2 linked regions of the Danio rerio genome follow. The protein of the gene in region 1 interacts with the protein of each later gene in a biochemical or structural test. Links are inferred from orthologs where the notes say so. Each region holds a gene or a part of one and is shown in the gene's direction. Other genes may lie near its edges.

Region 1 (3,657 bases):
TTCTATGAGAAACTTCACAGTAAATCCACTGAAGTCTATCTACATTTTTTTGTACTTTAAAAGTGATATATAATCTTAGGCCTTAAAACAAAGAAACAAAAATAACAAGACAATCTTTCACATTACTTTTCTTAAAAAGTTACTAAGTAATAATTTAGTTTCTTTTTTTTTAAATAAAAGTGACCTAGGATTTTAAAGACATTTAAAAGCAACTTTAACACTGCTTATTTATTTTAATGATCACTATTTTGTTTAAATTATGCACTGTGTCAGACAAAAAACATAACTATTCCCTGTTAATAACAAACAAAGCGAAAATCAAGAAAACATGTCTAAAAAACTTTATACAAGCAGATGCTATGAAACCTCCACTTGTACAAAGGGAAGACAAATAAATTAACTAAAGATCAAATATACATGTTCGAATGTTCGCTTTTTTTATTTATTATTATTGTTTATTTAGTATTTATTTTGTTTTGTTTCCTTAAATTCTGTGTTCAGTTGACAGGACAAATCTCAGAAAATCTGGGTGAGGATGAGCGACTGGTTCAGGGTCTCTGTGCTCTGTTGTTGGGGATTTGTATCTACTATAACGACAACAGTTTAGAGAACTACACTAAGTATGTTTACTTTCTTGCTTTGTTTCCTTCAACGCTTCCTTTTGTTGACGAGTCTTATGACTAGGGCTGGCAGTTGATTTCAAATTAGTCACAATCAGTCTTATTTTATTTCCTCTTCATTTAGGTAATTAAAGTAGTAATTATTAAATGCTATGTCCTTTAACAGTGTTTAATATAATGATAGAGAACCAAATAAAATGGCAGGTGGTAGAACTTTTACCTTTAAGTAATGAACATGGAGCAATAGAAAGCAAATTTAAAAATATAACTCATTTGCAGAACTAAGCAAAATTTGTTTTGATGTTAAATTGATGTTAAAGAGATGGTTGACCCAAACCTTAAAGTTCTCCCATTATTGACTTTCTTCTGTTGAACAAAAAAGAAGATAATTTAAAGATAGCTGAAGTAAGTTTTTCATACTATGGATGTCAATTTTTTTACTAGTTTTCAGCATTCTTTAAAATGTATTCTTTTGCATTTACCAGAATAAAGAAACTAAAAGTTTGACACCACTTAAATGTGAGTTAATAGTGTGTAAATGTTTATGTTTGGGTGAACTTTCCCCTAAAATATCACATATATTTATAACTACTAAACTTAAAAATGCTCTCTCTCATTATTTACAGTTCTACCTCAAACTCTGTTTAACAAAATATCTTTTTTTCTGTTCACAGAGAAAAGCTGAAGCAGTTGATTGAGAAGCGCATAGGAAAGGAAAACTTTGTGGAGAAATTGGCCTTTATAACGAAACACGAATTATATTCCCGGGCGGCTCAGAAACCTCAGCCAGCCTTTTCCACACCAGAACACATGCTGTTTGATCATGAATTTACCAAACTTGTCAAAGAGTTGGAAGGTAAGTGTCATATTTGAATTTGTTTACCCTTGTGAAGCTGATCTTTTAAGTGGCTAAATGGCTAAATTAAACTCACAAAAGGTTAAAAAAAAAGCCCTTTTAAACAGACATTTTAAACAGCCTTAAAGACACAACACTATGTGAAATTTGACTACTGCAACCCTTTAGGATGGGCCAGAAGGTTTCTATTTTCGTAATCTGGTGCTCTTTGATTGTTCACAGGTATGATAACAAAAGCAGTGCTAAGGTCAAGCGAAGAAGAGAAAAAGGAGGAAGAGGTTAAGAAAACACTAGAGCAACATGACAGCATTGTAACCCAATACAAAGAGTTGATCAGAGAACAGGTAAAAATGCACCAAACAATTCAATATCCTATTCACTCATTGAAAATTGAAATAAGTGTCACTGAGTGTTATTAGAAGACTTGTTTCTATAAATATTCTATAAGTAATCATGCTGTGAGTTTATTAAATGATTATTTCTTTGAGTATTTGATTGTCGTCTGTAAGCTGATACACTTAACCATATTGAAATGCAATTTTTCTGTATTAAAAGCAATATAGGTCTTAAGAAAATGGGTTTCTCCTTATTAAACAGTGCTTTCTCCTTCATCTGCAAGCTTTCTGGAAGAGGATTTCTAAAAAAAAAAAAAAACAGGCATACTTTGTTAAACCTCCCTCTTTATCCCTCTTTAATTGCAGGATTCTCAGATAAACGAGCTGAAAAAACAAGTGACTGCTCTTACATCCCAGACTGAAAATTTGGAGAGCACCATAACACAACAGCTTTCTCAGATCCAGCAGCACAAAGATCAGTACAACATCCTCAAACTTAAACTAGGTACCGAGCAAACATCAGATAAATGTCCATTGAATTAGAAGTGTTTAAATAGAAATCCATAGTATGTGGCTCTTAAACCAATTTTAACAGAATCACTGTAACGTATGTTCACTCCTTCTTCACATTGTGCAGGTAAAGATACGCAGCAGGCAGGTAATCAGGCAGAGGCAGCTCATGTCAATGGCCTCCAGCCAGAAGAGCTAAGTCAGCTCAGAGAACGACTCGAGGAAGTGCAAAGACAAAACCAGCTATTGCAGACACAACTGACTGAGAAGGACTCTCTAATAACCAGCCTGGTATGTGTGTGTCTGTTTCCTGAAATAGATTTTTTTATATATATGGCTATAATGTATGTTACCCTAATATGAAACCATTTGCATTTTTATTCATGCATTTAGCATTTAAAAAAAAAAAAAAATACAATTAAACTGGGGGCGTCTTGGCTGACACGTCTCTACAATATCACATGGTGGTCGGGGACAGTGCCTCTGTACTGGGCAATTGGGGTGGTGGTTCCCATTTTTATGAAGGGGGACCAGAGGGTGGACTTGTTTCCAGTGCATTTTGGACTCCAGTAGGGCTGTCCTTTGAAATTCTGTCCATAAAAATTATGAACGGAATTGCTGACAGAGCGTAGCCTTGGGCTGGAGGGGGTACGGTTCGAGGACCATTGGATCTCATCTCTGTTAATCACAGATGATGTTGTTCTGTTGGCTTCATCGAACATGGGCCTTCAGGATGCACTTTGGCAGTTTGCTGCCGAATGTGATGCGGCTTGGATTATAATGAGCACCCTCAAGGCCACGAAGCTCCACCGGAAAAAGGTGGTTTGCCATCTCCAGGTTGATCTTACCCCAGGTGGAGTTCAAATATCTTGGGGTTTTGTTCACGAATGAGGGAAGGATGGAGCGTGAGATTGACAGGCGGATTGGTGCAGCGGCAGCAGTAATGTGGTCGATGTACCGGTCCGTTGTGGTAAAAAAGGAGCTGAGCTGAAATGCAAAGCTTTCGATTTACCGGTCAACCTACATTCCTACTCTCACCTATGGTCATGAGCTTTGGGTCATAACCGAAAGCACAAGATCTTGGATCCAAGCGCCCGAAATGAGTTTCCCTCGCAGGGTGGCAGGCCACACCCATATAGATAGGGTGAGGAGCTATGTCACCCGGGAGGAGCTCAGAGTAGAGCCGCTGCTCCTCCACATTGAGAGAAGTCAACTGAGGTGGCTCGGGCATCTGTTTCGGATGTCTCCTGGATGCCTACCTAGCGAGGTGTTCCAGGCAGAAGAACTAGTCTGAGGTTCTCTCCTAAGACTAATGCTCCGTGACCCAGCCCCGAAA
Region 2 (3,657 bases), on another chromosome or scaffold:
ATATATATATATATATATATATATATATATATAAATATAAATTCATTTACCAACAAAAAAAAAATCCAATCTTTGTAATGTTGACCTGTTTGTAATAACCAGATATTGTTGTAACTGTTAGATATTGCATTGTTCATGTCTGCTGTCAATGTAATGTTTTATTCTCCATTCATTTTTAGTGGCCAAAAGGAAGTCTTTGTTTGATGATAAAGCAGTGGAGATTGAGGAGCTAACATACATCATTAAACAGGTTGGTAAAGACTTGTCATTCTCCATATCCAGTGCAATGAAAAACATCTCAGTACCTGCTTGTCCTTACATTGATGTTAAAGATGGCAAGTGTTGATAATTTTGTTTACTAGAATCCTGTATAAGATCAAGCCTCTAGCAGTGATCTGATGCAGTCTCTTTTTTTATCTGTCTGTCCCTCGCATCAGGATATCAACAGTCTGAATAAGCAGATAGCACAGCTGCAAGACCTTGTGCGATCCCGCAGTGGGCAAAATGGCCGCCACATACAGACACATTCCAACACAATTGTCGTCTCATTGCAGGTACACTTTCCTATCTGACATTCCACTCTTTCTGTGTTTATCTTACATTTCCTGCGCTGTAGACAGTAGGGGTGGTGGATCTCGTTTTGCTTGACATCAGATGACTTGACAAGCCGCCACACCTTTCATTTTTCTGACGCAATACAGTTCACCATGTAAACAGTCTTATCTGGGAATGTTTGTGTTGCAGTCTAAGCTGGCATCAATGTCCAATGATTTCAAGTCAGTTCTGGAAGTGAGAACAGAGGTGAGTTTTATGTATTTATCATTTCTTTTTTTTTTCTTTTTGCTTTTTTTTTGTGTGGATTCAATTCATATTTCTGGATTTCTAAGTAGCGGAAGTCGTCATTTGGGTAAACCTAGAGCTCAGTGAATGGTTATTATTTCAACAAACTATTTGTTGAAATAATAAAATAAAGACTCAACAATGGTGTTATCAAAACTTTCAGAATAAGCAAAAAAATTATGTGAGACTGATAACAGCAGCCAGAAGAGAGAACAACGTCAAATTTACTGTTCTGCTCATACACGCTGCATTACAAACGCACAAGAGGTAATTTGATGCAAAGATTAAATAATGCACTACCTGACAAAAGTCTTGTTGTTCATCCCAGTATTAAGAGCAACAAATAATAACTCAACTTCTAGTTGATCTCACAGAAATCAGTCAAGTTTGGTGAAGGAAAAATCATGGTTTGGGGTTACATTCAGTATGGGGGCGTGAGAGATAGCGAGATGTGTGAAAGATCAGCAGGATATCGATCCTTTTCATACTTCAGCCTCTGCATCATGGAGTAAACCATGGCTTTATATTGTATACTGTACATTATTTCTGTTAAGTGACAAGTCTTTTGTTTAAGCAAAGTCGGAACTTACTGTCCTAATTCACTGATTAAAAATCAAAGCATGATCATATTTTATTTTGGTAAATTAAGCGTAATCTAGAGGCCTTTGCATTTTATATAAGCCACTTCTGGTAGAAAATTAACTAGAAGAACTAGAAGTCAAGTTATTATTTCTTGTTCCTAAAACTTGGATAGGCGACAAGACTTTTGTCAGGTTGTGTACATGCGGAAATGCATATAAATGTACTTGCGTATTATAATTTTTTAAAAGTCAAAATATTCCTGTATTTCAGTTTATGATGACCATTATATAGGTCATAACATCCTTGTGAAAAAGGTCCATTGCTAAGTGGCAATTGTAGCACTTAATAATTTAATAATGTCATCATTTCTGTGATGTTTTTTTTTTTATGTTTATTCTGTGCTTTAGTTACACAATACAAAAGTGTTTACAGTGCATCTATACCGCTTTTTACGCTTGAAACCGTTAACCTGTAGTCATCCTACATCCTGGATAAACTGAATCCTGGGTTATCTATAATCAAGTTTCACACTACTCTTAATACACCTGGCTTTAATGAATAATCTGGGGTATTCGTTAACAGACATTTCGCACTAAACAGTCCTAAACACAGTGTCAATGTTTGGTAACACTTTATTTTGATGGTCCATTTTAGTATTAGTAGACTGTCTGCTTAATATCTGTTGATATGCTCCTTCAACAGACATTTAACTGACTATAGGAAACATGGCAAGTACATGTCAACTTACATTAACCCCAACCCCGACCTAACTGTCTACTTATAATCTAATGAGAATCAGTTGGCATGTAGATGCAATGTAACTTAAATTCAACAAACGGAACATCAAAATAAAGTGCGATCCAATGTTTTCATTTGCATTGTCAATGTTGCTGATTAGACGAACAACAGGTAACCTTTTACACGGCGTATGTTAACGTGTCATCAATTACAAAAAAGCAAAGTTTGTCATCTGAACATCTCCTAATCACTCCAGTTTACACGCTTTACATCTTTTAATATTACTTGCTTTTTTCTCACTGACTGCTGGTTACATGATGCTCATTTCTTGTTATTGGTTCGACATGACCTCGGGGCCTGTACCATGAAGATGGATTAGTTTGCTAACCAACTAAGCGATGCACCAGTCTTGGGTTTTAGGTAACATAAAGGCAGCTTGACTCAAATAAATCTTTGGTATTATGGAGCAGCTGAGCTACCTTTGTTATGTTCATGGTGTCATTTAAACAGAAGCATAACTGGCTATCCAGCTAATCTAGCTTCATAGTGCAGTCCCCAGGAGTTAAAAGTGGTGGTTAGAATGATGATAACCAGGGCGAGGCACAGTGTAAAAGAAGCCTTATGGTTAGTTTTGACAATTCTTGTCGCCATTTTTGAAAAGCATTTTTAACTCAATAAAAGATTAATAGGGAACATGACTTCACAAACTAGATGTCCATTTGCTTTTTCACAATGAACTTTTAGATTTCAAATTGGAGGCAGCCAATGCACTTTAATTATGATCAATGTGAAGATGCCAAAAACAATAGAAAGCAAAAAACGGGGCAGACTGACTAAAAACGAAAAAAATAAAACTTTGACCGATTTATCTCTTATCATTGTCCTCATGTTTGTTTTAGCTTTCAGGCAAGCTGTATTCTGTTGTATACTACTTGAATTTAATGAGTGAATTATTATAATGTTTTTTTTTTCTTCTTTTTCTTCAGAATCTGAAGCAGCAGCGCAGCAGAAGAGAGCATTTCTCTCAGGCTCCTGTCTCTGCCTCTCCTTTACTCGCCAATAACTTCAGTACGTCTTTTCCTCAGTACTGTCATGTTCGTTTTTTTCTGTTGTTATTAGGTTTGACCTTTTTTTCTTTTTTTAATTTTTGTTAGTTCAGATTTAAACTTGACTTTTTTAAACATAAGCCTATTTTGCAACTCTCCTAGGGCTCTATTTTGATGATCCAAGCACAAAGTCTAAAGCGCATGGTGTGTCCGAACCCACATTTTGCTATTTTAAGGTCGAAAAAATATGTTTTGCGCCCCAGTGCATGGTCTAACAGGGTTGAGCTTATTCTCTTAATTAGTTATGGGTGTGTTTTGAGCATATTGTGCATTAAACCAATCAGAGTCTCATCTTGCATTACATTTAAGAGTCATGCCATGGTGCATTTGCGATTTACATAGCGGACTTTGTGAAAGAAAAAACTGAATGCTTCCCTTAAATGCAGTAAGG

Evidence for each region.
Region 2: the proteins of uso1 (region 1) and stx5a form a complex in vitro, tested with the Homo sapiens proteins (2 studies listed by BioGRID). The link is inferred for Danio rerio from reciprocal best matches to the Homo sapiens genes USO1 and STX5.

The regions. Positions count from the first base shown.
Region 1 is NC_133176.1:28,145,177-28,148,833, forward strand, and holds part of uso1 (general vesicular transport factor p115), read left to right. Parts: intron 1-501; coding exon 502-620; intron 621-1,294; coding exon 1,295-1,476; intron 1,477-1,698; coding exon 1,699-1,820; intron 1,821-2,177; coding exon 2,178-2,316; intron 2,317-2,448; coding exon 2,449-2,612; intron 2,613-3,657. UniProt on the Homo sapiens protein: General vesicular transport factor required for intercisternal transport in the Golgi stack; it is required for transcytotic fusion and/or subsequent binding of the vesicles to the target membrane.
Region 2 is NC_133189.1:9,156,775-9,160,431, forward strand, and holds part of stx5a (syntaxin-5a), read left to right. Parts: intron 1-179; coding exon 180-250; intron 251-437; coding exon 438-554; intron 555-744; coding exon 745-801; intron 802-3,146; coding exon 3,147-3,228; intron 3,229-3,657. UniProt on the Homo sapiens protein: Mediates endoplasmic reticulum to Golgi transport.